Cricetulus griseus: one gene and its partners. The protein of the gene in region 6 interacts with the protein of the main gene of each other region in a biochemical or structural test. Links are inferred from orthologs where the notes say so. Each region holds a gene or a part of one and is shown on either strand. Other genes may lie near its edges. The genes, in order: Pja2, Mylip, Pja1, Rnf216, Ltn1, Ube2d2 and Rnf167.

Region 1 (4,174 bases), about 250 Mb from region 6:
GATCTGAATGATGCTGTTTTTGGAGAGAAACCCTGCCTTCGCAGGGTACAAAAGGCTGCACCAGCAACCGCTGGACCAAAGGATGCCATTTGAGAAGTTCTTCGGTACTACGCAGGGGCATATGCACAGCATTGCTATTCTTAACTCAACTGTATTTTTCTAACATGCGTATTAGGAAATGGAATTCTAACACTTCTGTACAAAATTTGTTTTTGTTAATTAATAATGTGGACATTATTCACTACCCAACTGACTCAAAAACAATCCCTGAGCCGTCTGTGAGCCACGAGGTCATCCTCAGTGGGCATACTTGACAACAGTCAGTCCTGCACTGGGTCTGGAGACAGCCACTAGAGTGAAGCACCAAGAACTCAAAGGCTCCACAGTCTCCGTCAGGCCAGAAGTGGGCTCTGCAGAAGCCTGGGATTGCTGAGGATGTCAGAAGTGGGCTCTGCAGAAGCCTGGGATTGCTGAGGGTATCAGGCAGAAAAGGGCAGCAGCCCCTCCTTCAGAGCCTCTGGAACACCACAAGCCCACCAGCTCCTCTCTACACAGTCCCTGTCTGCTCTGTCTAGTGTTCTTTTTAAGTTGGGTTCTTTGTTATTGACTCTAAATCCTTTAAGGATTATGCTACAGAAGTGATAGGATTACACAATTAAATATTAGAAATGACCACCGAGTATATCCTGTTTATTGTTTATGATTTACACGGAAAATGGCGGGCTGGGATTGTATAACAATAAACCAATCATTACAGTTAGACCTGGGCTTTTGAAACCTTGCATTCCATTTTAACAGCTCATATATATTTAACAGCTTATATATAAATCCATATCACAAATAATCTTAGAAGTTAGTTAGCTTAGAGATAAACAACTAAGAAACAAAAGAAATCCACATGAGTCTAACTTTAAATATCAGCATTCGTATTACAAGAAATAAAATGTTCAAAAAATTAAAATTATTAGGCCAAGTCACAACAAAAAATAGAGAAATAAGATAAATGACATTTTATCAATATTTTTACTATTTCTAATTTACCTTCATATACTCTTAACTTTGCAAAAAGATGAAATAATATATTGGGGTCTGAACTTGTCAGCCTCAGATTATACTGGCTTGTTACCATCAAAGTTCTAGAACTTCATTTTTCTTTTTAAAAAATTTAAAGCAAGTCTTATTCAGCTTTCTTCTTCACAGCAGCTGTGTGTATACGTAGCTGGGAGCCAACAATGAAGGACGGTAACAGATGGAAAGCAAAAAGGACAACAGCTATCTTACGTTCAACTCTCTGCTTGAGTTTGGAACCAAACCTCTTAACAACTGGCAGATAATAGCTAAATCTTAATAGGCAAAGAAGAAATATTTTCTTTGGGACAGCTGCTATCTAGGAGAATAAAAATCAAGGTCCCTTACTACTGACTAAACATAACATGTGGCTTGTTACAAAGCAATCTGCAGCAATGTAAGTTTAATCAGTAAGTGCCACAACTAATCAACAGTACATAAAAGAAAACACACAAACAAACCACACAACCCACAAACCTCCACAGTGTACACATGAGGACTAATGTGAATCTCGTGTGACTTCTTGACACTGACTCATCATCCATGAAATATGGTATGGAAAGACCACAGAGTAGAAAACAAGCAAAGATTAGTTTGTACAATGCTGACTATATACATCAGAAGGAAGCATGCTAGCTAGCGCAACATTAAGGCCTGAATGTAAGCATCCAAAGTCACAGAAGCCCCAGAACCCCTAAATTACAAATTCACCACATTACTTGCATGCAATGTTCACTTGTTTTACCCATAAAAGGATACACAGTATTTTGCTGTTATACCAGCCACATTTACAATATATGCAAAAATCAGAATGCAAGTGTTATATTCCTTATAGTGAAGCCTCAAATGTGCCAACAGTGAAAATTCACTTATTTTTAAGAATGGAGAAAGAAGAAAGAATGACTACTCAGATATTACACAACTGAAATGAAGCTGTGCATTTCAGAAGCTCTGTAGGTATTCCTGCAGCTGTATCAGAATGGACAGGCAGATGTGCACTCGCTGTGTGCTCCCGTGTTGTGCCGTCTCAGCCACTCCTCTCTGGTGTTGACATCTGTAAGCCACCTATTACACTCTCATCTGTAGAGACTTGCCTGCTCATGTGATCACCTAAAAGCTGTGCAATTTTTATTTGGGGTGACACAGTTACAAACATGGCCATGTGCAAGTCCTCAGACCTTCTAAACTATTTCTGAAACCAAACGACCTTAAAGTAACTAGAGCCAGCTTCTTAAACGAGGATGTCAAGAGTGTTCCGGACCTTCAAGTATTTAACAAGTAGAAGCAGACTGATAAGGGCTTAGACAGTGTTTCGTAAGCCAAACACATGTAACTGTGCCGAGCACTGAGCACACCAGACCATTCACATGCTTTGCTAGCCTTTCTTTAAAGGCATCCAGTGTTCACTGAATATTGCGTTACCTAACGTCTCAGCGGGGTTACGTCTAAGATGTAGCCAACTAAAGGAAATGGATGCACTGCTTCAGCATTCAGCTTGCAAATATTTAGTATGCTCTGCAAACCTAAATTCAGTTTAGAAAGGTTAATATTCTCTTTCTAAACTATGGCATATACTATATATAGCATTTTAAATATATTTATATATAATTATTTGCACATCAGATTTAGAGGAAATTTGCAGATTTACTGTGATAGACTTCAGGTGTCATTTCCATGTTTCTCTTATGGGGCTTCTGCAGTATTGTCATTTGCAGGCGGGGCATCAGGGTCAGGGTCAGAGGAAGCAGCTGCAGATGCTTCAATGACTGCAGGTGGGAAATGACGGCGGCACACAGGGCAGGTCCCCGACTGCAGGGAAACAGACAGACAGACCAGTTAACACACAACACAACAATAGACCAGCATTATCGTCATAGAAAATCATAGCATCATTAGCTGCAAACAAATCAAGTGCCCTTTAAAAACACATTTGTTGCCTTACATTCTGTGTGTGTGTGTGTCTATGCACGTAGGAGCAGGTGCCTGTGGAGCCACGAGGCAGTGCCAGACTCCTCCAGAGCAGGGCTCCAGCAATTGTGATCACCTGACACGGGTGTGAACCAAACTCGGCTCCTCTAAGTGCACATGCACTTTTAACTGCTCCAGCTCCCAAATCAAGTATTAAAAACAAAAAATACACTTCACACCCACACGGCATAAGACAGAATTTTAATGCCTTTTATTTAATGCCATCTCAAAAATTTCAATGCCAAATTTCTTTTCTTTCTGTCTTTTTTCTCTGTGTAGCCCTGGCTGTCCTGGAACTTGCTCTGTAGACCAGGCTGGTCAAACTCAAGAGATCCACCGCCTCTGCCACACTTCCATCCCCTTGAATGCTGGGATTAAAGTTGTGCACCACCACCACCCAGCTCAAATTTCTTTTATATAAAACAGCACGTTATGATCATGTTTGTACCTTGGATTCAACTCACCTTTTACTCAATGAATTTTTATTTACAGCTTCCATGCTTGGCATGGATGCTGTGGTCAAAGCTGAGCAACGAATCAGTACATTGTCTCATGGAAATCAGTCAGGTAAGCTTATTAATGACCTGAACCCAATAATTTATCTATTAGGCACATACAAGAGACCCCACACAATTTTGGCTCAGAAAATTACAGCCCCATCAGGCCCATCCTTGTTATATACATACATGAAAGCCTCACTTTATTGTAGACAGATGTGATCAACCAGACTGACTTCAGACCTTACTTTATTAGCCAGGTAACCCCTTTCTAAAAAGAGACAATTATGTGCCTTCTAAGTAACAACACAAACTAACCACAGACCTGGGACAGAAGATGGGAAGAGAACAGCTTTAAAACCAATGGAAGCCCAGAGACCTGTCACCTCACAGAAGACACATCATGTCCTTGCAAGTCTGGCCTTTCCCAAATGCATCTCTCTGATAGAAGGAAGGGCAGCGAAGCTACCATGCTGTTGAAGGTGACAAAGAATTTCATTTTGGGAACCTTTTTCCCAGGGGAGGCTTTATACTAATTTCTTTCCTCAGAGGACAAAAATTAGGTTGTTATCCTGTGCTACAGCAAAGCCAAGCACACTGACGATGTACTTGCCACAATGAATGGCCTCTATCAGCACTGT
Region 2 (4,458 bases), on a different chromosome or scaffold from region 6:
AGTGTAGTAGAGACTATCTCATAGTCCATCATAAAGCAAGGACACATTCTCAGCTCAAACATATTATGCAAATACCCTTCCATGACTTAAATGAAGTATTTTTCTTTCCCAAGTTTTGGCTGATTTCAAAAATAAGTTTGTATCACTAGAATTGGGTTGCACTTGGAAGCCCTGAAATCTCAGCAGCAGCATCACAATACAACTGTTTGCCAAAAAAAGAAAGGGATAGAGGGAGGGAAGAGAGAGGGAGGGAGAGAAGAAGAGATGGGGCTAGTGAGATGGCTCAGAGGGTAAAATGTTTGCTCCCAGCCTGACAGCCAGAGTGCAATCTCTGGGACCCACATAGTGGGAGGAGGGAACCAACTCCTTAAAGTTGTTCTGTCACCTCCACAGGAATACAGATGTGTGTGCAAGCACAGGCATGTACACGTACACAGTGCATACACACATACAGAGTAAAAGTTTAAAGAAAGATAGAGCCTCTTGTGACTAACAGAGACAGCTCAGCATCTATAAGCATGCTATTGCATGAATATTCGTAAGGTATTTTCAGAAACACTAAAAATTCCTTATGCCAGTTTCCTTCATAAACAAGATCTCCCCCCACTTTTAAAGTTCCACAGCAAGACAAAGGGGATATTTCAAATCCAAACGAGTGGTATTTTAAAACGTTTCCACCGTTTGTCTGGCAAATAAACAAAACACAGTATGCTGAAACCTCTCCGAGGATCCTGTTCCCCGATTATGAGTTGAAATCTACAAGATCGCATTTTTCACATGCATGGCGCTTTTCCAAGCCACAGGAGGATGGGAAACATCAGTGCTGGGACCCACAGCTTGCTGTGGTTTTAAAAGCAATCATTTCCCTTTTTCAGTATGCCACTGTAAGTCTCTTGCATTTCAATAACAAATATTAAACATCACTTTTCTATTTTAGATCATCTTTGAGAAAAGGATAACAGCCAGTTGTGAGGGAAACACATTTTGTTGTTGTTGTTTGGTCGTTTAAAGAAGGAGACCACACACTTCAGTTTCTACCATGGCTGGTGGAACTTATTTTAACAAGGAGGGAAAAAAAATCTAATGCCCAACAATCATGTTTAATATAGCTGTAGGCTGGAGTTCAGTTACAGTGGCCTTCAAAGAGTTCTTTTATTAAGTTTTCATGAAACTTAAAAAAGTTTTAAAATCTGCAGGAGGCCAGACAGAGCACTCAGCTACACACTGTAATCTGACACTAGGCTGAAGACTGACCAAGTTTAAGTAACCCAAGAGGAACTGTTTCCTGCTTTCAGTTAGAACCGTCGACAATGACCTGTAGTAACACTGCTGAGGCGGGGTTACTAGCGGGCATTAGACATAGCTGTCAGGAAGTCAGTGTTGGGGGTTTTCTTTTTGTTTGTAAGAAGTCAACTCTGCTCTCCCATTAATAATATAGAGGCGTGTATAACCAAAACAAGAGTTGGAAAACCCACCCAGGCCAACTGTGCTTTCAACGGCAAATTTAAGTATTTCCTGAACTTCCTCTTCAGGAAGTCAAATTAGCCCGGGAACATCTCTGGAAGCCCCTCCTAGGTGGAATCAGAGGTGTACTTGACACTGGTTTATTTCCGCCTCACTTTACCTTGTCTGCTCCTGTAAGATGAGATGGGGCTCCACAAAGAACTTGACTCTCAGTTTGAGCCGGTAAGGTGCCAGCCCGTCCATCTGCTGGGAGATCCGGTTTCTCAAATTCAGCCATAAGCTTTCACCTTTGCTGCCGGTGAACTGCAGCCCAAAATAATCAACTTCTATGATCCCCAATCGCCTACACACCTAAAAACAAAACCAAAGGCAGAAGATATAGGCAATGCACACATAAGGGCTCCATCTGCGTGAAGGGCAGTCACCTACTTTGACCTTGTTATAATTCCAGTCCTACCGTGTTAACATTCCAGTGGTAGAATGGAAAAACAACGTTTTAAGGTACCAGCGATGCCAAAACACAGCGCTCCAAAGGAGCCTCGGCCTTGCTTGAATATTTCTAGGGTATGGCCAATTGCACAGGGTAAGGAGTCCCCTAAAACAGACTTCACAAAAGGCTGAGAAGGAAGAACCCAAGGGTATTTTATTTCTTACTCCAATCGCTGGAATTCCTTCCACCAGCACCATCTGCACAGCTGATCTGGCAGCTTATTATCTGGGCAGTTCTAACCATCTGGATTCCAAAAACACAAACACGTTGAGGAAGCATGCCACAAGTGTCAGCTAAGCTTCACAAGTGGCTTTCCAATCAGCTCAGGTCTACAGGTCCCGAAGGCACAGTGTTTCAGGGGGATCAAATGTGCCTGCCATATCCACCATGCAAATACTGTTCAGAGCCTTAGTCACTCTAAAGAAAACACACGTGTAAAGACCACAAGCAGGAGACTGCCAGAACCGTTCCCCGCAAATTACCAAGGATACTCTGGATCCCCAGCAAGCCCGGAGTGTCAGGTGAACTCTCTTTCGGAGAAGCAGCTAGAGACATGGGCCCACCTGATTAGCTAGGGAACCCCGGGGCCCGTGACTGTCTGCAGCCACCTCATCCCGGGACGCGGGTGGCGCTGCCGGGCTTTGCGAGGACCCCACGGGCGGCATCACGCACACACCTGCGGCAGGTGTGCCTGGTCACCTTATTTAGAGAAAAGTGCCGAGGTAAGGGACAGGGTTGCAGCTCCTGGCAGTGTCCGGGTTTCCAGGCCCGGGATCCCCCCCCACCGGACGCGTCCTCTATGCCCCCCACCCCCGCCGCCCGCGGGGAGGAGGCTGGAGCCTGGCGTCCGGGGCGCGCTCCACGGGCCGCTGCTGCAACGTCGCCCGGCTCCGGAGGACCATCCCCGAGGCCCCAGGCTTCCCGGGGACAAGTGGGGATCCCCTTTCCGATCGTCCCCCTCACCTGGTTGAGACAGTCCTCGCCGTTGGCTTTTGCCTCCACCTCCACCTCCATCAGCACTGCGTCCGGCCTCGTCACATAGCACAGCATGGCTGGGGCCGCCGCCACCGCCGCTTCTTCTCGGGTGTGCGCCGCGGCTGTCGCCTCACTGCAGTAGCTCTAAGTCGCCTCCGGGCTCCGCGAGGAAGGTGAAGCGGTGCGGCCGTCTGCCCTGCACCCCACGCACCCCACGCAGCCTCCTCTCGCGTCCCCGCCACCCCCCGCGGTCTCCCACTCCAGAGTGCTCCACGGCCGCGCCGCTCGGACAGCCCGACTGCTTGCTCCGAGACAGGCACGCGTCTTTTATAGCGGCCCCGCCCCCTCCGGCGCCGGCCTCCGCCAATCACGGCGTAGTTGCCCCTCCTCCCCAGCCCCGCCGGCCAATACGGAGCTCCGGCAGACTGGAGCCCCGCCTCCCGGCACCGCCTGTAGAGCTGCGGGAGGTGGGAGCCCCCACCCCCACGCCTGTACCGTCACAGCCTCTGCCGCTGGGCGACGCTCCTCCCAGCCCGCTGTCGCCTGCCGCTCCAAGGGACGCCTTTCTGTCCCTGCTCAAGAAAGAGGACCGTGATCAAACGCTCCCGCGATGCCACTGTTCTCACGACTCCCACTCCAACAACCAGGTGGTTTGTGAGAGCCCAGAGGGAAGCGGGCAAGCCGGAGCCTGAAGTTAAGACTTTTCGGCCGGGATTTGCCACTGAGGGTGGCAAAAACGCACAATTTGAGCAGGAAAGTTTTTGCAATTGACCAATAACAAGCTGGGTAGCTTGATCTTAAAAGCACCATTCTTACATAAACGCGTGCCAAGAGTTTTGAATGCAAGGGTTCTGCTAAACCGAAACACCTAGCGGAGTGCTGGGGCCTCCATTGCGTTACCCATTCTATCTAGGATCAAGTCACTCACTATCACCTGATACTTTCCCTGGGAGAGCCCGAAGTTACTCCATGTTAGAGGTAAAGGGCTCCTCTCAGGACCCAGCAGGGGTGGGGGTGGAGTTTAGTCTCAGTAGAAGAGATTAATGGTTAAAGGCCATGACTTCATTGCCTGTTTCTCTTAGCCTATACAATTACTTTGCCTGCCTCTTTGGTTTGTAACAGTGGTTCTCAACTTGTGGGTCGCAACCAGTTTGGGAGAGGGGGGTCTAATGACCCTTTCTTTCACAGGGGTTACCTAAGACCATCAAAAAACACAGATATTTACATTATGATTCATAACTGTCGAAAAATTACAGTTCTGAAGTAGCAACTTATGGTTGGGGGGTCACCACAACATGAGGAACATAAAGAGTCACAGCATTAAGAACTACTGATTTATAAGATAAGCCAGGAGATGTGGGTTTCAGCCTTGGGTCTTTGGAAAACTTCATTTCTCTGAAGCTTGGTATTCTCAGAGTAGAATGGATATTTTTTGGGCCTTCCCTCAGCATCCCTGTGAAGCAATCTAGCCATCCCTGCCTGCCAATGACTGTGTCTCTGTCCTGGTGGTCATTTGTTTTCAGGCAGTG
Region 3 (4,554 bases), on a different chromosome or scaffold from region 6:
ACTTTCTCTGGTTTCACCTGCCCATTCCTGTTATCCTTCTTGTCTTCAGGATACTTTGGCTCAGAGGAGCTGCCTGCACCCTCACCTCGGGCTCTTCTTGCTAGGCCCTCTGCATGGGCTTCGCCAGCATCAGCACTGGCAGCATCTCTCCACCTGGGAGTACTCTGTGGTACTACATCATCATCATCATCAGTATCAAAAAATATTTTTGGTTTCATGCAGTTTGGAGTCGCCACATTCCGGACTTTTGGCCTTACCACCGGCTCCTCTGCACTCTTTGGGGAGTTTTCCCCACCACCACCACACATACTCACAGGAGCCCTGCTAGGACGTGCTAATAAATTCTGCCTCTCCCTCTCCAAGCTGTTGTTACCCCTTGCAACTGCCCTGCCTTCAGCAGAGGACATCTGAGAGGCCATACCACTTTGCTTCAAGAACTCAGCTCTGCTAGCAGAGCACCTTGCAGCAGGAGGGGGTTCTACCTTGCCAAGCCCCTCTTTCACATCATGGTTAACACTAGAGAAGCGGGGAGCTCTTGCCCCCTTCTCTGGATCATGCTTAAACTTGCCAGTTTTCCCTCTCACTGGCAGTCTGTCAACAGGCCCAGCCCCCTCCTCCTCACTATCACGTGCCCTCAGAGTGCCAATATGTCCATAAGCCAATCCTCTTCGGCTCCCGGAGGCCCTGTACTCTCTTGGAGGATACCTGGGATAATCCCCATTCTCAACATTCAGGCTGGTTCCAGAGCTCTCTCTGTCATCCCAACGACGTCGTGTGCTGGCAAATGGTGACCGGCTCCTCTTGGTGTGATTGGGGGCTGATCTGTGCATTGGGACTTCGGATGTTGTCCTTCTCTGGCTGGCAATCCTTTCCTGATGGCTTGTGGACCGCCTGAAACTGACATAAGCATGTCTCCTTCCATAACTCCTGACTGCATTGGACCGATACCCTCCTGCTGGTTTGGGCCGAACAGGCTTGCTAGATTCCTGACCCATGGCTGACTCTGAGATTCCACCAGAGCTGGGATGCAGGTGCAAAGGCTCTTGCTCCCAGGTCAGAACTACAGAATAAGGAGATCTAGTTTTCCTTCAGTAGGCAGGTAAGAGAGAGATAGGGGCCCTTTAAAATTAGTTTCACTGTCTTTTAAGGCCTGAGGTAGCATTCCTGTGACTGGTGTAGACCTGAAACACATTTTTAGTGTTTGCAAAATGATTACAGGACTGAGTTCACAAGAAAGGTGGGGAATAAGACAGAATGTGTGTGTGAAAGAGTATGTGTGTGTGTGAAAATGTGTGTGTGTGAGAGAGAGGGAGAGAGTATGTGTGTATGTGTGTGTGAGAGAGCATGTGTGTGGGGGGGCGGTGATTGAATGCTTAGAATGTAGATGTGCTGTGGAAATATGGGAAGAGTAAAGCCCGCTGTGAGCTTGGATTTTTTGGGGGGAAAGGGGAGATGTAGTTTTCTGAGAACTGCAGATATTGAGAAGAAATACAATTTAGAACAGAACTGAAAATATAGTTCACTGTGTATGCGTGCACAAGTGCAGTGTCTGTCAGGAGAGAGACAGGTGGATAAGGGGCCAGCAATCCTGCAATGCAGGGATTTCTGTAGGGGGTGGGAATGACAAGAATGGGTGGGGCAGTTTTAGAGGGGAAGGCTGTGAGTATGAGAGAAGAGAAGAGGCAGTGCTCCTGTTAAGTGTGGCAGCTGGAACTATAGAGGGAAGCCTGCATTCCACAGGCAAGGAAGTGAAAGGGTATTGGTAGCAATGAGGAAAGTGTATAAAAGTCAATATGGGAGGCAACAAGGGGCAGAAAAAAAGCACAGAGGATGTATGTGGCGGATGGAATACAGAGGCCAGCAACTAAAGAATGCTAGAATATGTTAGTATGGCAAACAGGAAAGGGGGTACTGTCCCCAGAGGATTTGTGTGTGAAGGTGAAGTATGGAACAGAGGAGAAAAGAACATTTGAGAAGAGTGTGTGAGCCAGCTTCCTATGTGTACATGTATGTAAGGAAAGCAACAGAAGGATGAAGATGTCTTTAGATGTGTGTGTATAGCAGACATGAACAGGGAGGCCATTTTTCAGAGAGGGGGAGGGGGAGGGGAAGGAGAGAGAGAGAGGGACAGGGAGGGAGGGGGGATGAGAGAGAGAGAGGGTGAGGGAGAAGGGGGTAGGGGAGGGTGGGGGGAGGGAGGGAGGGAGAATACACTCTCAAACACGGGTCAGAGGAGAAGGACAGGGAAGATTCTAGAGATAGGAGGTAGGTGAGGGGAGAGGAAGGAACTAGAGGGTGTGAGAGAGGGTGTGTGTGCTTGCCTGTTTGCACATGCGCAGAGGAGCTCTCGGAAACCTTGAGGATGCAGGGACAGGGACCAGACTGCAAAGGAGGTTTGTGTGTGCCTGTGCGTGTGCCCGTGTACGCGCACGCGCGTGCGTGCGACACAGAGGAGGGGGTGCAATGTCATAATAAGAGACAGGAATACGTCCTTAGCTCAAAGGGCAAACCCAAATCAATGTGGCAGGCCAAAAGAAAGAAAAAGGTTTCGTGTAGGAATCCTGATTTTCCCTCAGAATACTGTTTATCTTTTAGTAATTATTTTATTGAGCACATATTTTGTAGCTAAAAATCTTAGCCCTGTGCCATTATACATAACAGCAGCGAAATGGGTGAAGAAAGGCTATAGAGTGCTCTCAAAGACGCCAAGAGCATTGCAAGGAGAGACAGGTAGGAGTGGCAGAGGGCCGCGACCACCAGACCTCTCTCCGACAGCCATGAAGGCCATTCGGGCTAGGGCCATAAGGCTAGGCAGGAGCTGGGCAGCAAGGGATGCGGTCCCCAATGAGGCCACAGGCCTCGGCATGTGGTCAAGTCCCCTCTGCCCCACCCCGCTCCCAAGATAAACCCGCAAAGGGGTCATTGGAATTCTGCCCATGCCCATCCGGCAAGGCTCGCCCACCTGTCCGGGCTACTACAGCAGGCTGCCTTGCACTCACCTTCCCGGCCAGTCGCGTGCTCAGAGCTGCAGAGCCGATGGACCTTCGGTCGCCACCACCACCACCGCTGCTGCTCCGGGTCTCGGCTCCTCCCCCGCTAAAGAGCACTAGGGCAGGCGGGGACTGCGGCGGCGGAAGTGGCCGTGACGTCAGCGCGAGTCCGCCCCCTTGATGTGGCGGGGGCGGGCTACTGCCCTCTGCAAATCCGGGTGGGCTCGAAAGCGTTATTTCGTTTGAAACGCTCAGCTTTTTCAGGGACACACACACAAACACAAAGGCAGCAAGAACTGTAACAGTTCTAACAAATGTTAAACGTTTGTCACCTTCCTTCAGTTGCTTTCTTTAATAAACTGAAATCTGAACATTCTGATTAATTCTAACATTATAGTTAATTATATTACTATATCACATCCTATGTTACATGCTATGGTTTTTCTGTGGATATTAAAATCTATAGCGGTATTTAGAGTTGCAGTAGAAACATCAATTTTTTTAAGCCTGGTGTCTGAGGCAAACCGAAGATGTTTGCAGTGAAATATAGTACTGTCGTCACAAAACCAGGCTTGTCTATCCATTACATTACATGCAACACAGGTTCACATTTTGTGAATTGCAACACATTTTAAAATGTCAGAGATGGGCTGGGCGATGGTGGCGCACACCTTTAATCCTGGCACTTGGGAGGCAGAGGCAGGTGGATCTCTGTGTTTTGGAGACCAGCCTGGTCTACAAGAGCTAGTTCCAGGACAGCCTCCAAAGCCACACAGAAACCCTGATTCGACAAACCAAAACCAACCAAACAAACAAACAAATGGCCGAGTGTGGTGGCCCATGTCTTTAAACCCAGCACACAGAAGCAGGCAGACCTCTGAGTTTGAAGACAACCTGGTCTACAAAGCCAGTTCCAGGGCAGCCAGGACTACACAGAGAAACCCAGTCTCTGAAAAATAAACAAAACAAAGTAAGTCACAGATAAACCCTTCCTGAACTCTTTGAATTACATGGATAGATACTCAGATCAATGTAGAGTTCTTGAGTTCACAGTAGTAGCAAAGATTTGCTCTCAGGAGAAATACAACGTGTAGTAGAACAAAACAAAAACCCTTCAAGGGTGACAATACAAACAGTATGGGTATTTCCTATTAAAAGAATACTGTGTGACCCTGAGGGGGCAAAATCCAAAAAAGGGCAAAAAAAAAAAAAAACAACCCAACAAACAAACAAAAAACGAGAGGGTGAGCAAGAACAAAGTGTGTAGAAAGAGAAAACAACACTTAACAGTGTGTAGTATGGACTATTAACTACATAAAATCAAATTCACTCTACATGGTAGCTCATGCTTTTGACCCCATCCCTCCAGAGGCAAGAGGATTTATGTTTTTTTTCCAGGACAGTCTGGTCTATATAGAGACTTCCAGGACAGCCAGGGTCTCAAAACAAAACAAAAATTGGAGCATTTCTTTTTTCCTTCCTTTTTTTGGGGGGTGGAGTGGAATGTGCATAGGGATTGTTATAGTCATTGTCAGACAAGGTCTCATTATGTATGTAGCTCAGG
Region 4 (4,615 bases), on a different chromosome or scaffold from region 6:
TCTAGTGCTGGAATTAAGGATGTGTGATCTGATACACTTGGATGGCATGGAACTCAGAAAGCTCAGTCTACCTCTCTAAATTCTGAGTCTAGGATTAAAGGTGTATACCACCATCTCCTAGCTTCTGGCTGCTGTGTGCCTGGCCGGGTGGTGGTCACCTTTATCCCAGCACTAGGGAGGCAGAGGCAGGAGGATCTCTGCAAGTTTGAGACCAGCCTGATCTACTGAGTTAGTTCCAGGGCAGCCTCCAAAGCTACAGAGAAACCCTGTCTCAAAAAACCGCTTTTATGGCTTGTAGCTGATGGTGCTTTCTGAATCCTCAGGCAAGTTTTAATAAATCATAAATAATATATCGCCACAGGATAGCATTAACAAGGTAGAGTAGGATAGTTAGAGGCAAGAACTGTGCAAACAAATGAGTTCCAGACTCAGCTTTGAACCTTATTCCATTTGTTATTTTTCAGCACCTCCCTACACACACACACACACACACACACACACACACACACCGGAGAATCTACCTCACTGACAGGACTAAGAAGAGTGATATGAAAAACGCTTAGGGATTTTTGTTTGTTTGTTTGAGACAGGGTTTCTCTGTATTGTTTTGGAGGCGGTCCTGGAACTCCATCTGTAGACCAGGCTGGCCTCGAACTCAGAGATCTGTCTGCCTCTGCCTCCCGAGTGCTGGGATTAATGGCAATCGACACCAATGCCTGGTGCTTAGGGTTTTATGTAGTACTTAGCATCAAGTTTGGAAAGATAAGGCTGGTGAGTTAGCACAATAGGTTAAGGGTACTTGCTGCTAAACCTGACAGCCTGAGTTCAAAACCTGGGAACTCATGTGGTGGAAAAGAACTGATTTCCAAAAGTCCTCTGACCATTAAGCATACTTAAGTGTCCATATACAAACTAAATAAAAGCTTTTGCCGGGTGGTGGTAGCACATCTCTTTAATCCCAGTACTCAGGAGGCAGAGGCAGGTGGATCTTTGTGAGTTCAAGGCCAGTCTGGTCCTCAGAGTGAGTCCCAGGACAGCTATAGCTACACAGAGAAATCCTGTCTCAAAAAAACTCAAAAAACTCATGTGGTAGCACATGCCTTTAATCCCAGCTCTTGGGAGGCAGAGGCAGGCAAATCTATACAGTGAGTTCCAGGACAGTCAGGACTACAGAGAAACTTTCTGTCCACCCCCTCCCCGCCCAAAAGTTTTATATAGATGAAGGATGACAAAGAGGGATCTAGAATATGGCAAAGCCTAGAATACAGTAAACATAGGAAACAGTACTTCACTGTTAGTAAACACCCACCTGGTGGTGTTGGCATACCCCTTTAATCATAGCACTTTGAAGGCAGAGGCAGGTGGATCTCTGTGAGTTCAAAGCCAACCTGGCCTACAGAATGAGTTCTAGGGAAGCCAGGGCTGTTATACAAAGAAACCCTGTCTCAAAAAAAAAAAAAAAAAAAAAAAAGCAAAAATAACAACAACAACAAAGCCATTCTCACCAGGTTTCATAAACTTTGGATCTCCAGAAGCTACAATTTTATTAGATTTCTCAAGATCTTTTTAATAGCTGCTCTTGTCCTTCTTAGACAAGTCCCTAATGCAACAGGTTCAAGACCCAAAATCCAGGTTCAAGATCCACAGCCATTTCATGAAGTTCATTTGGACACAAACAGAACACAAAGCTTGGTTATTTCTTAATTTGGATAAACTAAACTGAGATGAGGACATAAAAATACTGTTCTTACAGGGCATGGTGGGGCATGCATTTAATTCCAACACTTGGAAGACAGAGGCAGGCAGATCGCTGTGAGCTTGAAGCCAGTCTGGTCTACAAAATGACTTCCAGGGCAGCCAGGGCTACACAGAGAAAGCCTGTCTCAAAACAAACAACATACTGTGCCTCCCTTCCACCCAGCAAGGGCGGGCACAAGCTCCTCTGCATACGTTAAAATACCAAGCAGATGCATAAAGTCACTGATGGGGGTGAATCCCCCCATCCATGATGGGGGTGAAACTTTACCCTAATCCTTCACCCCTGCTCTGTAAGCAAGCCCCCCCCCCCGCCAAAAAAAATCATTAGTCAAACCCAAACCAATCAACCAGAACAAACAAAAAACCCAAAAAGGGGTATGTGTGGCACTCAAACTCAATGACAAGCTGATATCTAAATTCGAGGCCAGACCCTATCTAAAAAACAAACAAAACATTAAAACAGGACTAGTTGGCCTACACCTTTAATCCCATTACTCCCAAGGCAGAGATCTGTGAATTCCTGAGTTCCAGGGGACAACCTCATCCACTTCTCAGGTTCCAGGTTAGCCTCGGCTATGCAGTGACTCTTAAAAAGAAAAAAAAAAAAAAAAAAAAAAAAAAAAAACAAAGACACCAAACTCCAAAAGGGTAACGGCTACCAAGACACTAAACACAATGGAGGAGAGGGTCCCAGGTCCCTGCACCCGTTTAGACGGACGGGGAGCCTGGGATCACGGATGAGCAACAAGGGGGCCGCCTCGTTCACTCGAGCGTGGGTCTCGCCGCTCACCCAGCGTGCCACGCGCCACGGGAGCACCAGGGCTCCGACTGCAAAAGCTGTGTGTCCCCTTGCTCCGCGGAGCGCCGGCTGGAATGACAGCGTCAACTCGGACCCGAGGGGGCCCAAACTAGCCCGGGCTGGAGTTCAAAGTCAACAGTCCGCCGCCTCTTCCGCTTCTCCAGGCCGCGGTAGGGAGCGCCGCCACCGAAGCGAGAGCCGCCAGCGCACAGTCTCTCAGCGAGCGGCTCGTCGCCCCCCGCGCCGCAGGCCGGCCGGAGAAACTTCCTAAGTGGCGGGAGGAGAGCCGGCCGGCCAGCGGTCGTCTCCGCCGCTCCCCTCCCGACACCCCTGCGGCCCCCCGGACCCCCGGGACGCGCGAACGCGCCCCTCAGCCCCCGCCCCCACCCCAGAGGCGCCCTGGCGGGAGGCCACTCTCCTCAACTCGACCCGAGGCCCGAGAAGCCCACGCGCGCGTCCGTCACGTACTCGCCACGCAACTAGCCCAGCTCCGCGAGCGCCACTCGGCGCTCGGAGTTGAGTCTCAAGTCACCTGAAACAGCCGCCTGAAAAGCTTCGTCGCCTCAGCCGCAGGCGCCGCAGCCGCCGCCGCCGCTACCGCCGCCGAGGCCGCTACTGGGTTCCTTCCGGCCTCGCCACGGCGTCCACCTCGCGCCTGCGCGCAGCGCCCCCTCCCGACTAATGACAGGAAGAACCATAGAGGCACCCGGAGGGCCGGAGAGGAGGGGCTTGGAGAGCGAGACTGTAGAGATGGCTGCCTAGCGGGCCTCCATCTGGGCTCCACAGCTTCAGAGCCTTGACTCCCCCTTGCGACTGGAGGACAAAAGAACAGCTGAACCCTAGGGTCTTTGTCTCATCTTAAAGCTGCGGTGGGCCGCTGACCATGGAATCAACAGATTAACCACTTATTTGCCCTCTTATGAGATGTTTCTGTGTACCAAGTGAGACAGGTCAAATGACTCAACTCTCCCCCAAGGGTATTTGGTAAAGAATAAAGTTGTTTTGTTTGTTTGTTTGTTTTTGTTTCCTAAGACAGGGTTTCCCTGTTTCTCTGTCTAACAGTCCTAGCTGTCCTGGAACTTACTTTATAGACCAGGTTGACCTCAAAGTCACTGAGATCCGCCTGCCTCCCCCCCCCCCGCCCCCTCCGTGCGAAATTAAAGGCATGCTCCACCGCCGACAAGCCAGAATAAGGTATTCTTAAATTCTATTCAAATAAAGGCTGGAGATCTGGCTTAGGGGTTAAGAGCATTGACCCAGATTTAATTCCTAGCTCCCACCTTACAGCTCACAATGGTCTGTAACTTCAGTTCCAGAAGATCCGACGACCTCTTTCCGGCCTTTGTGGGCACTAAGCATGCAAGTGGTGCACAGATAAACATGCAAGCAAAACACCTATACACATAAAATGTTTCAAAGAAAGTGAAAGATGTTAATTTTTTCCGTTGGGCAGTGGTAGTGCAAGCCTTTAATCCCAGCCCTCGGGAAACAGAGACAGGAGGCTCTCCGTAAATTCTAGGCCAGCCTGGTCTACAGAATGAGTTCGAGGACAGGCTGCAAAGCTACACAGAGAAACTCTGTCTCCGGTGTGGGGGGGTGGTGGCACACACAAACTTAAGTCACCGTGTTTTGTTTTAATTTGTTTTTAAATTGTGTGTGTGTGTGTGTGTGTGTGTGTGTGTGTGTGTGGTACAAGGGCAGATAACTTCAGAGTCTAGAAGAGGCCATCAGATTCCCTAGAGCTAGTTCTGAGTCATGAATTATGCATGTTAAAAATGGAACTCCGGTCCTCTTATAGAGCTGTTAGCACTCTTAACCTTTGAGCCATCTCACCAGTTCTGTTTTAGGTTTTATTAGACAAAAGTATATGCGTGCATGCATGCATTCCTGAGTGTGTGTGTGTGTGTGTGTGTTGCTGAAATTGACCCCCAGTCTCACACTTGCTAGGCAAACTGTCAATCCAGTCCCCCCCTTTATTACTTTATTTAAATTTTGAGATAAGAGTTTGCTAGGTTATTTAGGCTGGCCTTGAACTCACAACATAGCTTAGCCTGACCT
Region 5 (4,029 bases), on a different chromosome or scaffold from region 6:
TTAGTATTTGTTTTTAAACCACATTTCTATTTCCAATAGGATCATGATCGCCGGGTTCGAGAGGCTACACAGCAAGCTTTTGAAAAACTTATCCTTAAAGTAAAGAAGCACTTGGCTCCATATTTAAAAAGTGTAATGGGATATTGGCTAATGGCTCAGTGTGATACATACCCACCAGCTGCAACTGCAGCAAAAGATGCATTTGAAGCCGCTTTCCCTCCGAGCAAGCAACCTGAAGCCATAGTGTTTTGTAAGGAAGAAATTACAAGTGTGAGTTTTTGGAATCATTCTGTACCCGTGTTTCTCAAGTGTCTGAAGGCTCTCAGGCATACAGTGGTAGCTCTTTTTGCTAGAAACAAATTATGTCTCTCTTGTCATACACAATCAACATAAAAGGTTTCTGTGACCTCAGAAGGTATGGAGGGACCAGCACGATGGCTCAGTGGGTAAAAGTGTTCCTTACAACCCTCATAAAGGTAGAAAGAGCTGACTGCGCAGCTGTCCCCTGACCTGCACGTGTGACTGCATGTTCTCTGTGGGCCAGTGATGGGGAAGGAAAGCAGATCCTAATCTCTCTCGGCTTTACTAGGTGACGATCCCACCTATGGTCCTGTAGTAGTGGAATAACGAGTAACAAATGACCACGAGTGTTTAGTGGGAACTTCTCTACGGGAATTGGAGCTGTCTTTACCACAGTAGCAGCCAGTGTAGGGAGAGATAGGAAGAGAAAAATGGGTGAGGTTCAAACCTCTTAATTTTGCTGTCTGATTTGGTTAGTCGGTGGTTTGAGGGCATGGGAATTTTTATTTATTTAATTATTTATTTTTATTTTTTTGAGACAGGGTTTCTCTCTGTAACCCTGGCAGTCCTAGAACTCACTCTGTAGACCAGGCTGCCCTTGATCTCAGATCTGCCTGCCTGTGCTTCCCAATTGCTGGGTTCGCGCCACCACTGCCCGGCAGGTATGGGGAGTTTTTAAAAAGTAGATTTTCCCTATATCTGATCATCATTGACAGTTCCATAAGATCTCAAGGTTTTGATGGTTTTCTCCTTCAGGTACTACAGGATCACCTTCTGAAAGAAACTCCTGATACCCTCAGTGACCCTCAGTAAGTTACGTTGTTTCTAAGTAACACAGGAGGCATTTACTTTGTTGGTGTCATGTGTAATTTCAGTTTGATGTGTTCTAAGAAGGAATTGCAAATGCAGGTGAAATTACTTCAAAGAATGCTACATGGTGCCTGCTCTGTGCTTTTACTTGCTGGCTGTTACATTTGAATTTTTGGAGCTATATATGTAGTTCTATTAGAAAGAATTTTACATTTTTTTCTCACATTTACCTTTTGGCAGTCATAGCAGGAACTGTTTTAAGGTTTGGCATACTTGAAGTTATTAAGTAGTTCTGTTAGAGAAGTAGTAAAATGTTTTATTTACCTGCATGTTGTGTTTTTTTTTGAGACAGGCTTTGGAGCCTGTCCTGGTACTAGCTTGTATAGACCAGGGTGCTCTCTAACTCACAGAGACCCTCCTAACTCTGCCTCCCCAGTGCTGGGATTAAAAGCATGAGCCACCACCACGCAGCATACATGTTGTATTGTGATTAAGCTTTCAAGATTGCATCAGGTAGTCAGGTGCCTCACCGCCCTTGGTAGAATTGCCCAGCACCTGCTGCTGAGCGAGCATTGTGCTTGTGTTCCCTTCCTGCATGTGTGGGAGTGAAGCATTTGCTTTCACTTGTATTAACTGCAAGATGTGTGACTAAAAGTCTACCTGTCTTGCAGTCAATCCTAAAAGCTGGAATTCAAGCCCTAGGATCTGCATGGTGGAAGGAGAGAAACTATTCCCCAGTTTGTCCTGACTGTTGTTGTTTGTTGTTTTTACTCTTGGGAAGCCTGCCACCCAGCTCCCAAATAAATCACACATGGAGGCTTACTCTTAATTATAAATGCCCAGACTTGTCTTGACTTATTTCTAACCAGCTTATCTGAACTTAAATTAGCCCCATCTACCTTTTTGCCTCTGGGCCTTTTCCTTCTCTTACATCTATATATCATATTTTACTTTCACTCTTAATCTGTGGCTGGCTGTATGGCTAGCCCCTAGTATCCTCCTCTCCTTTTCTTGCTCCTTCTCCTTTTCTTTTCTTTTCTTTTTTTTTAAGATTTTATTTATTTATCATGTATACAACATTCTGCTTCCATGTATATCTGCACACCAGAAGAGGGCACCAGATCTCATAACAGATGGTTGTGAGCCACCATGTGGTTGCTGGGAATTGAACTCAGGACCTCTGGAAACGCAGCCAGAGCTCTTGACCTCTGAGCCATCTCTCCAGCCCCGCTCCTTCTCCTTTTCTTCCCAGATTTCTCCTTTTTTGTTCTTCTGCTGGCCAGCCCTGCCTGTCCTTTTTCCTGCCTTGCTATTGGACATTCAGCTCTTTATTAGCCTATCAGGTCTAATAGCATAGCTTCACAGTTAAACAAATGCAACACATCTTTGCATCATTAAACAAATGCTCCACAGCATAAACAAATGTAACACGTCTTAAAATATTCTACAGCAGACTTCCATATGTGTATGTGTATAAAAAAATCCAAAAAAAACAAAAGCTATTTATTTTTCAAATGCAGAACTGTTCCAGAGGAGGAGAGAGAGGCTAAATTCCATCGAGTTGTAACGTGCTCCTTATTGGCGCTAAAGAAACTGCTTTGCTTCTTACCTAACAATGAGCTCGATTCTCTGGAAGACAAATTTAAATCACTTTTATCACAGAATAAGTTTTGGAAGTATGGAAAACACAATGTGCCTCAGGTATTGTAATAATTTTTATTTTAAGACTTCTATAACTTCCCCCTAATTCTGCATTTATGCTCATGTTTATTGTTTGTGTTTAAAATTATGCAAGCACATCTTTGTAGTTAATTGGTCATTCAGGACTTAGTTCCTCTTTTACTGCTACTCTGTTTCCACCTTTGTCGTTGGGTTGAAGTGGCTGACTTGCTTTATGGGGTCTGTATTTTCACTGTTCATTCAGGTGGAATTAAAACTAGACCACACCATGGAATTCCTGGCAGTTTAGAATTAGTGCTGTATGCAAGACTTGTTCAGTACACTTCACGCCTTTGGTCACTTTCCCTTTCTCCACCTTCTAATGCTTTTCATGTATGCATTTTGCTTGTGTAGGCCAGTTGCATTATCCATAGTCATTTCTACAGTGTTAGCACAAACACTGAATGAGAGAATACTGGAACATTGTTCCTAGGGGAAATACAAGGTTAGATTCCTGTGAGTTGTTAGTTACAACAGTTTTCTCTTGTCTTTCTTTTTTCTTTTTCTTTTCTTTTCTTTTTCCATTTTCATTTGAGATTGGTTTACCCTGTTGTAGTCTGGCTGTCCTGGAACTTGCTTTGTACACTAGGCTACAGAGATCCTCCTGCCTCCAGGATTAAAGGCTCATGCCATCACTGCCCAGCTCTCAACAGTTTCTTTAATGAGTCAGTATAAAACATTAATTTAGGTGTTTCTGTTGAAAACGATTCATTAACCTTGAACTGATGACCAGGCACTGGAATTCATGCCTGAATTAGGTTTATTTAACAGTCTTTTTTCTGTGTCACACAAGAAGTTTTAATCTGTGTGTGTGTGGTGTGTGTGTGTGTGTGTGTGTGTGTGTGTGTGTGTGTGTGTGTGTGTGTGTGGTGTGTGTGTTGCGTGTGTTGCTGGCTGTGGTGTCTGTTGTCTTGTATATGCGAGTACTTCCCCGTTTAGCTACGAGATCCACACTGCAAACATTGACTTTGTAAGTCATAGCTGAGTCTTGTTGCACTTGAACGCTACATTTGGAGCCACATTGGAAAAAGATGAAACGATGCCTGGTTACAACATGAGAACTGCTTCTCCTTCCCCATCTCTTGCACCCGACTCTTAGTGCTGCTACATATAATTTTAATTAAAATGTTCCATTTAGGGCCTGGAGAGGTGGCTCAGAGGTTTAGAGCACCGGCTGGTCTTTCAGAGGTCCTGAGTTCA
Region 6 (4,029 bases):
AAAAAAAGTGTAAGTTAGTAGAAGGCCAAAGTGAAGAGTGTAAACATCAGAGGCTAGGCAGCATTCAGGAGGCAGGGACAGGTGAAGAGACTGATCTCTGAATTCAGGGTTGTCCAAGGCTGTATAGTAAGACCCTGTTTCCAAGGGAAAGACAAACACTACTCATCCCCCAACACACAAAAACCCAATCTAAGACATGAACCTATGTTAAGACTAGAAGTGAGAATGCAGGTTAGTTTAATGGTGGAGAGCTTGCATAATATACATGAGGTTCTGTTCTGAGTTCAGTTTTTAGCAGAACAAAAGCAGATCTTCTAAATCCTAGATTGAGAACACTTGGCAGTGCCAGTGAATTTCAATTTTTAGAAGCTCAAGTTCAGAGAATATCAGCTGTCAAATTTCCAACAACAGACAAAATTAGTTGTCTGACATCACTCCATTACAAGGAAACTTCAAGGACAGTCCAGGATATAGAAGATTGTCTCAAAAATGGAATAAATTCTAACCAGGTACCAGCTCACACTTGTAGTCCCAGCACTATAGAAACCAAAGCAGGCACATTGCCACAAGCGGAGACCAAGACAGAGTAAAACCGGTCTTAAAATAGTAACAGAAAGGCTGGACCTTGGTGGTGCACCCCTTTAGTCCCAGCACTCGTTAGGCAGAGGCAGGTAAATCTTTGTGAGTTCAAGGCCAGCCCACTCTACAGATGGAGTTCCAGGACAGGCTCCAAAGCAATACAGGGAAACCCTGTCTTGAAAAACCAAAAAAACAAAACAAAAAAACCAAACAAACAAACAAACAAAACAAAAAAAAAACAAAAACAAAAACAAAAAACCCAACAAAAATAATCAAACAGGGCACCAGTGAAATGGTTCATCATGTAAACCACTTGCTGAATAGCCAGCCAAGCCGAGTTTGATTCCTGGAATCCAAAGGTGGAAAGAGATAAATAACTATATGAGTTGTCCTGATTTTCATGCAGTGCTGTTGCACTCTCCCTACCCAACATACACAGACAATAATAAATAAATAAATGAAGCCAATAATCACATCATCTTCTCACTGGTAGCTTGTTTGTTTACACTTTTAAGGCAGGACTTCACTCTATCAAGCTAGCCTCAAGTTTGCTATGCAAAGAATAATCAGCTTGAACTACTACTGATCATTCTGCTTCCACTTCCCAAGCATTAGGATTACAGTGTATACACCACTATAACAGTGTATACACCACTATAACAGTGTATACACCACTATAACAGTGTATACACCACTATAACAGGAGTCTACCTATTCTTGAGTATCACAATCAACAACCTGGCATCATACCAAGGATTATCTATTCTTGAATGTTAAAACTCTTTCATTGTATTGGAGACATGGCTCAGTGGCTAAGACCACTGACTGTTTTCCCAAGGGACCCAGTTTAATTCCCAGCACCCACATGGCAACTAACAACTGTAACTCCAAAATCTGACAGCCTCACACACTTACATGCAGATAAATAAAAATTATTTAAAAAAACAAACGAGTTATTAAAAAAAGAAAAAGATGTATGCAGTTAAGACCACTGGCTGTGGGGGCTGGAAAGGTGGCTCAGTGGTTAACAGCACTGACTGCTTTTTCAGAGGACCTGGGTTCAATTCCTAGCACCATATGGCAGCTCACAACTGTCTGTAATTTCAGTTCAAAGGGACCTGACCCCCACGGCAAAGCACCAATGCATATAAAATAAAAAATTAATAAATTAAAAAAAAAAAAAAGACCACTGACTGCTCAGAGGACCCAGGTTCAATTCCCAGTACCCACATAGTGGCTCACAACTGTCTGTTAACTCCAGTAACAGGTGATCCAACACCCTATTCTGTCACCTGGGGGAACCAGGCACATGGTGCAAATTCATTTAAGGCAAAACACTCACACATAAAACAATTTGAAAAACAGATAATCTCAAAAAAGATAAACCAACAAACAATAAAATCAGTTATTTCACCTTGATATCAAACAACTCCATTACCTTTTGAAATAGTTAGTGCTGGAGACCACTGTGACCGTAGAATATCAAGACAAATGCTGCCATTACTGTTAATATTTGGATGATAAATTCTTGTTGTAAATGCAACCTGAAGAAAAAGAAATCTCTAATTGATTTACTAATATCATACAGAGCATATTAAAAGCAATGATCGTATTCCAATTACCTTAGGTGGTTTGAAGGGGTAATCTGTTGGGAAATGAATTGTCAAGAAAAACACTCCACCCTGATAGGGGCTGTCATTCTGTTGATGATAAGAAAGTGAGATTTAAAATGAATAAATCACATAAAGTAACCATTAAGGAATTAAAGTGAGTACTTACTGGCCCCATTATTGTAGCCTGCCAATGAAACACTGAAAAAAGAACAAGAAAAAGAAAATCATGTTAATGATATTCATATCACACCTATACTGTAGAAACCGATCATTCCCTGCCTAATCAAAGTTCATTTATGCCAGGTGGTAGTGGCCCACACCTTTAATCCCGGCACCAGGAGGCAGAGGCAGATGATCTCTGAATTCTAGGCCAGCCTGGTCTACACAGGGAGATCTAGGACAGTCAGGGACTTATTTCAAAAGGTAATGGAGTAGCTGTTTGATAAAGGTGAAATAACTGATTTTATTGTTTGTTGGTTTATCTTTTAAGATTATATGTTTTTCTAATTATTTATTTATTTGTTTATTTATTTATTGGGTTTTTCAAGACAAGGTTTCTCTGTGGCTTTGGAGGCTGTCCTAGAACTAGCTCTTGTAGACCAGGCTGGTCTCAAACTCAGAGTTCCTCCTACCTCTGCCTCCCAAGTCTTGAGTGCTGGGATTAAAAAAATGTGCCACCACATCCTGCTTCAATTTATTTTATGTGTGAGCATTTTGCCTTAATGTTACACAGAGAAATCCAGTCTCAAAAAACCAAAAACCAAACAAAAACAGTAAAATGAAACACCAAAGTTCACTTATACACAGTAAACAGTATGATACAACTTTTTTTTTTTTTTTCCTGAGACAGGGTTTCTCTGTGTAACAGCTTTGGATGTCCTGGAACTCACTCTATAAATTAGGCTGGCCTCAAACTCACAGATATCTGTCTGCCTCTGCCTCTTCAGTGCTGAAATTAAAGGTATGCACCACCATCCCCTGGCAATAATGACTATTTTCTATGGCCAGGATGAAGACTCTAAACCAACTGTGATTCCAAACCACCTAAAAGGCCAGGTGTTGCTGGTGCACGCCTTGCCTTTAATCCCATCCCTCGGGTGGCAGAGGCAGGCGATCTCTGTGAGTTTGAGACTAGCCTGGACTCCAGAGGGAGTGCCAGGATAGGCTCCAAAGCTACACAGAGAAACCCTGTCTCGAAAAACAAACAAACAACACACACACACAAAACCAAACCACCAAAAAACTGAATGAATGAACGAGGGAGGGAGGGAAGGGAGGGAAGGAAGAGAGGGAGGGAAGTCTTTAATCCCAGCACTCCAGAGGCAGAGAGGCAGGCAGATCTGACTTTGATGCCAACCTTAGATCCACAACAGCCAGGGCTGTTATAGAGAAAGCCTGTCTCCAAAAACCAAACACACCAAAAAAAAAACAGACAGTCAACTTAAAAATAGGTGAAAAGAGGCTGGAGAGATGGCTCAGAGGTTAAGAGCACGGGTTGCTTTTCCAGAGGTTCTGAGTTCAATTCCCAGCAACCACATGGTGGCTCACAACCACCTATAATGAAATCAGGTGCCCTCTTCTGGCCTGCATTGCAGGCATACATGCAAAAAGAACACTATACATAAAAAAAAAAAAAAAAAAAAAAAAAAAAAAAAAAAAAGGCAGAGAGGCTAGAGAGATGGCTCAGTGGTTAATCGTGCAAACAACTCTTGTAGACCAGAGTTCAGCTCCTAGCACCTGAATCAAGTGGCTCATAACAACCTGTAACTCCAGCTCCAGAGGATCTGATGCCATCTTCTGGTCTCTGAACATTTACACTATTTACACTCCTGTGCAC
Region 7 (4,479 bases), on a different chromosome or scaffold from region 6:
CCCTGCCGTAGATCTCAGCTAACAAAAACAGGTAAAACCTAGCTAGATCTTTCACTCTAGATTCCAGGAATGGGGCTGGAGTCAAGCTCAGACCTGGAACTCACCGGCCATCAGCAGTCATCCTGATAAGAGCCACCTCAGCTGGCGTTCCCACAAATGCACCAGTTGCACCTGCAGTCATACCAATCAGGGCTTTCAGCAGAAAGCCAGGGGGTGTACCGTCAGCCCCAGTCAGGCGCTCAAACAACACGGTATAGATGCCAAGACGAGTGGTGGTGTAGGTAGCCTGGCGCAGTAGGCCAGCTGACAGCCTGAGGAACAGAAAGGTCAGCAAAGCCTATCGGGCCAAGGTCTGGACCTGCCAACCCACAACCTCGCTTCCCAACCGGAGGCCCCAGTACCCAGTGTAAATGCCCTTCAGTCCTTCTGCCTTCAGGATGCTGGTGAGGGCATGGAAGCTGGTTTTGTACTCTCGAGTCTTGGCCCCTTCACCACTCAACTGCATCCGGTTCTTCACCAAGTCCAGAGGCTGCACAAAAACTGTAGCACCCATCCTGGAGTAAGGCAGGAAAAGGAGACAGAGCTCAGCTGTTCCTGCTCTATTAGTGTCTACTGCAACCTGGCAGCCAGAAGTTACGAAGGTCAGGGCCTGACATGCAGCTAAGGATTCAGGAGGCTGGTGGGCATGTACATAAGTGTGTGAACGAAGGGGCGATGTGCCAGGCAAAAAAAAAAAAAAAAAGTCCAGTTGTCCAGTAAAGACCATGCAAATCAAAACACTTCAAACAGTTCCTTAGAGCTCAAATAGAATTAGATTACAGGCAGTCTGACTAAGGAGGGGTGGAGAGGACATCCATAACCTACGACTCCAAGCGGTCCTCTAACAACGCCTCTAATAACCTAGACCCACCACACAATCAGGCACGGTGAAGCAATGGTGGTGGAAACACGCGGGGCAATGACTCTTGAATGAAGCCAGCCCTGTAGGGGCCTGCGATGGGTGAATAATCCTGTCAGCCCACCAGGGAGGTCGCAATACTCTGGACATTATGGTGACCCCGCACCCGCTCCATTTACTGCAACATACCCCGAGATGCACTGGGCCCAGTTACTTGCGCCCGTCCCTTCCTCCTTTTTCCCATCCCTGGGGCCTGAGCTTACCCAGCCAGGCCCCCAAACAGGAACTTGACCGACTTAGGGGAGGTACGGGGCTTCCCGTCCATCCGGCCATCCCCGGGACTCGCCGTCGCCGCCATCGCCCCTTGATGGCCCTCGGCTTTGGGTCCCGTGCACGCACAGCCCCGCTCGCGCCCAAGGTGACACCAGCGCGCAACAGGGCGAAGGCGCGCGCGCGCACGCCCCTCCGACAGGCAAGTCTGGCTTGAGCTGGAAACTGGGGGGCGGACGGGGGGGGGGGGAGGACCGCAGGCGCCTAGCGCAAAGGAGGCCGGGAAGGAGGCGGGGCTAGTATGCGTAAGCGAAGGGGCGTGGCTGATCTAGGAAGCCTCTTTGTAGCCCCCGCCCTTCCCGAATTGGAATCGCGGGAAACTAGTGTTTGAAAATCTCGCGAGAACGAGTGAGACAGTCGAGTTAGGGCCGGCATCCTCTCTCTCGCGATAAATTTCAGCTTAGCGATGGGGTGGCGGTGGTGGTGGTAAGCACTCTCGCGATACTTGGAGGTACCGCAGCGAGCAGGAGGCAGAGAGGTTTGTAAACAGGGCAGCACCAAGATTTCGGGCGCTGAGGGGAAAAGAAAATTAGGTCGTCTCCTGGGCATCGGAGCTCCCTCCATCTGCGCAGGAACTCTCTCCGTGTCTAACATTTCTTTCAACCGGCCTTTTAGGACCGGAAGTCCTCCGTCCTGAGCGTCCAATACTGGAAGCGGCCTTTCTTTACCGGAAACCCTTTTCCAGGGGATCGGAAGACGGCCTACCTGGCCGGAAGTCCCACCTCTTTGAGATTTCCCCCACCCTTCCTGAAGTTTTTCTGTTACCTGTTTTTTGCCTTCGTTTCTATTCTCCGTTTTATTTCTGTAGTAGAGAAAGATACATTGTCTCCCTCCCAGCTCCACTAAGCTGGTTTCATACCGCACTTCCCGAGTCGGAGTTTTGCCCCGACGCCCCCATGTAGCTGAGAAAGTAGGACCTGGGGGTGGTTGGACCCCTGGGATCCTTAAGGAGGCAGAGAGGTCGCAGAACTCGGCTCCTATCAGGACGCGACCTCCTCAGCCTTACCCCTCCCGCTGCCATGCACCCTGCAGCCTTCCCGCTTCCTGTTGTTGTGGCTACTGTGCTGTGGGGAGCATCCCCTATCCGAGGCCTTATTCGAGCGGTGAGTCTAAGGGGCGGATGGGGCGGAGGGTGCCGAGAAGGGTTTCCAGGCCGAAGAGAAAAACGGACTAATTTTGTCTGCAGACCTCGGAGCACAATGCCAGCATGGACTTTGCAGACCTCCCAGCTCTATTTGGGGCTGCCCTGAGCGAGGAGGGACTCCAGGTGATGCTCTCCCCGTTTCCTTATAGTCTCTATCCTGGGCAGGGGTTGAGTAGCCGTGCTCTGGATCCAACTGGAGGTAGGAAGTAGTCGAGTTAGCAGCGGGATGCGTTGGGCTGTGGATAGAACTCAGTGATAGGGTGCTTTCCTAACACGAGTGAGACTGAATCACCAATACCAGCTCCCCGCCCAAAACCTAAGTATATGACCGTGTCCAATGTAGAGTTCAGAATCTAGAGGCAGAAGGCAGTGTCCGAGAACTCCCAAGTTTAAGAGGGACATTGGAGAGTGAATTAAGATAGGAAGCAGGTGCTTATCAGTAATGTCTCCAGAGCTGTTTACTGTTTGTATGAATGGCTGTGGATGGTATTTTGTTGACCCTTAGTAAAATGGGTAATGGAAATTAACTTAGAACTACTGTGTTAACTGGTAAGTTGAGTTAAGCATGTCTGTAATAGTTTATTACAAAGTTCTTGCCACATAGGAAGAACTCAGTTGGACCACGGATAGCAATAGTTGTTTCTAAAGTGAGGGTTATTGAAAGTGCTGTATGTACACAAAAAGACGAATCTGAAAAAAACTTGGTGAAAATGACATGGATGAGTAGCAAGCTGAATTATCAGGAAACTGGAAAAACAGAACTAAACTAAGAATTTGAGAAGTCGAGAGAGCCTCTGGTAAAGAGGTGATATGTTCTGTAATTGCATCTTCGGGAAGCCAAGAGATTAGATTCTGCTTTGTTTGGTTTTATAGATAGGTTTCTCTGTGTAACCCTGGCTGTCCTGAACTGTGTATACCAGGCTGTCCTCCAACTCAAAACACCTGCCTGCCTAACTCTACTTTCCAGGTGCTGGAATTAAATGCATGTATCACCATGCCGGCCTGAGATGTAGATTCTGATTCAGGTGGGATGCTTAGACCTCAATGAGGGTAGAGCTACAGAATACAGATGGTGTATGTATCACTATATTCGATAGGCCCTGTGGGAGGCAGAATGTAAAGATGGAAAATCCAACTGTTTGCTTTTATTCCTCAGGGGTTCCTTGTGGAGGCCCATCCAGAAAATGCCTGCAGTCCCATTGCCCCACCACCCTCAGCTCCGGTCAATGGGTCAGTCTTTATTGCACTGCTTCGAAGATTCGACTGCAACTTTGACCTCAAGGTTGCTAAATGTGGAATGGGAGCTGGTAAACATGGTAAATGACACTGGAAGCAAAGAAAGGCAAAGTTTATGACTGTTGTCCGTGCTTTGTCTTCTTAGGTCTTAAATGCTCAAAAAGCTGGGTATGGTGCAGCTGTGGTTCACAATGTGCATTCCAATGAGCTTCTGAACATGGTGTGGAATAGTGGTGAGTAAGGCTGGGGAAACTGCACCGATGGACTTTCAGTAGGAGGACTAAAGGATCAAAAGAGGCCTTTGGGTTCTTTGGGTGGGATGGGCAAAGTGTCAGATGCCAGTTCCAGGGAACTGAGTGGAAGGCTAAATCCCCACTATCCTGCTCCCTACAGAGGAAATCCAACAGCAGATCTGGATCCCATCTGTATTTATTGGAGAGAGAAGTGCAGAGTACCTACGAGCCCTTTTTGTCTATGAGAAGGGGTAGGACATAATGCTTTCTTCTTCCTCTTCTCCCACTCTTCCCCAAGCCTCACTACCCTACCCACTCACACTCAGGCTCTTCCTTTCTCTTCACCAACGCCTTGTCCCAATCCAGTTACCTGGTTTTGCCTGGTTCCTGGCTTGAGACTTGTCTTTCTTTCTTAGGGCCCGGGTGCTTCTGGTTCCAGACAATAGTTTCCCCTTGGGCTATTATCTCATTCCTTTCACTGGCATAGTAGGACTGCTGGTTTTGGCCATGGGAGCTGTACTGGTAAGTAGCAGTGGGAAGAAATTACAAGGCCAGACTGTGTCTGGAGAGGGTTAGTGAGGTGGTTATTGGATTTTCCAGTGTTTTCTTTTCTTTTTCTTTTTCAACTTAAGCCTGGT

Evidence for each region.
Region 1: the proteins of Ube2d2 (region 6) and Pja2 form a complex in vitro, tested with the Homo sapiens proteins (3 studies listed by BioGRID). The link is inferred for Cricetulus griseus from reciprocal best matches to the Homo sapiens genes UBE2D2 and PJA2.
Region 2: the proteins of Ube2d2 (region 6) and Mylip form a complex in vitro, tested with the Homo sapiens proteins (2 studies listed by BioGRID). The link is inferred for Cricetulus griseus from reciprocal best matches to the Homo sapiens genes UBE2D2 and MYLIP.
Region 3: the proteins of Ube2d2 (region 6) and Pja1 form a complex in vitro, tested with the Homo sapiens proteins (3 studies listed by BioGRID). The link is inferred for Cricetulus griseus from reciprocal best matches to the Homo sapiens genes UBE2D2 and PJA1.
Region 4: the proteins of Ube2d2 (region 6) and Rnf216 form a complex in vitro, tested with the Homo sapiens proteins (2 studies listed by BioGRID). The link is inferred for Cricetulus griseus from reciprocal best matches to the Homo sapiens genes UBE2D2 and RNF216.
Region 5: the proteins of Ube2d2 (region 6) and Ltn1 form a complex in vitro, tested with the Homo sapiens proteins (2 studies listed by BioGRID). The link is inferred for Cricetulus griseus from reciprocal best matches to the Homo sapiens genes UBE2D2 and LTN1.
Region 7: the proteins of Ube2d2 (region 6) and Rnf167 form a complex in vitro, tested with the Homo sapiens proteins (4 studies listed by BioGRID). The link is inferred for Cricetulus griseus from reciprocal best matches to the Homo sapiens genes UBE2D2 and RNF167.

The regions. Positions count from the first base shown.
Region 1 is NC_048595.1:453,411,110-453,415,283, forward strand, and holds the end of Pja2 (E3 ubiquitin-protein ligase Praja-2), read right to left. Parts: intron 2,878-4,174; coding exon 2,752-2,877; 3' UTR 661-2,751; downstream 1-660.
Region 2 is NC_048596.1:265,108,377-265,112,834, reverse strand, and holds the start of Mylip (E3 ubiquitin-protein ligase MYLIP), read right to left. Parts: upstream 3,146-4,458; 5' UTR 3,005-3,145; coding exon 2,918-3,004; intron 2,904-2,917; exon of another isoform or gene 2,152-2,903; coding exon of another isoform or gene 2,119-2,151; intron 2,105-2,118; exon of another isoform or gene 1,922-2,104; intron 1,816-1,921; coding exon 1,625-1,815; intron 1,602-1,624; exon of another isoform or gene 1-1,601. UniProt on the Homo sapiens protein: E3 ubiquitin-protein ligase that mediates ubiquitination and subsequent proteasomal degradation of myosin regulatory light chain (MRLC), LDLR, VLDLR and LRP8. Activity depends on E2 enzymes of the UBE2D family.
Region 3 is NC_048604.1:70,903,453-70,908,006, reverse strand, and holds the start of Pja1 (E3 ubiquitin-protein ligase Praja-1), read right to left. Parts: upstream 3,098-4,554; 5' UTR 3,000-3,097; intron 1,061-2,999; 5' UTR 996-1,060; coding exon 1-995. UniProt on the Homo sapiens protein: Has E2-dependent E3 ubiquitin-protein ligase activity. Ubiquitinates MAGED1 antigen leading to its subsequent degradation by proteasome. May be involved in protein sorting.
Region 4 is NC_048597.1:79,660,454-79,665,068, forward strand, and holds the start of Rnf216 (E3 ubiquitin-protein ligase RNF216), read right to left. Parts: upstream 3,246-4,615; 5' UTR 3,090-3,245; intron 3,049-3,089; exon of another isoform or gene 3,026-3,048; intron 1-3,025.
Region 5 is NC_048597.1:9,913,445-9,917,473, forward strand, and holds part of Ltn1 (E3 ubiquitin-protein ligase listerin), read left to right. Parts: intron 1-39; coding exon 40-270; intron 271-1,056; coding exon 1,057-1,109; intron 1,110-2,630; coding exon 2,631-2,811; intron 2,812-4,029.
Region 6 is NC_048595.1:201,719,391-201,723,419, forward strand, and holds part of Ube2d2 (ubiquitin-conjugating enzyme E2 D2), read right to left. Parts: intron 2,391-4,029; coding exon 2,359-2,390; intron 2,280-2,358; coding exon 2,202-2,279; intron 2,124-2,201; coding exon 2,018-2,123; intron 1-2,017.
Region 7 is NC_048600.1:84,457,864-84,462,342, forward strand, and holds the start of Rnf167 (E3 ubiquitin-protein ligase RNF167), read left to right. Parts: upstream 1-1,579; 5' UTR 1,580-1,706; intron 1,707-1,843; 5' UTR 1,844-2,247; coding exon 2,248-2,331; intron 2,332-2,414; coding exon 2,415-2,571; intron 2,572-3,339; exon of another isoform or gene 3,340-3,416; coding exon of another isoform or gene 3,417-3,446; intron 3,447-3,528; coding exon 3,529-3,602; coding exon of another isoform or gene 3,603-3,654; intron 3,655-3,753; coding exon 3,754-3,841; intron 3,842-4,001; coding exon 4,002-4,092; intron 4,093-4,257; coding exon 4,258-4,363; intron 4,364-4,479. Other genes in the region: Slc25a11 (mitochondrial 2-oxoglutarate/malate carrier protein), read right to left, coding at 105-311, 402-554, 1,162-1,256.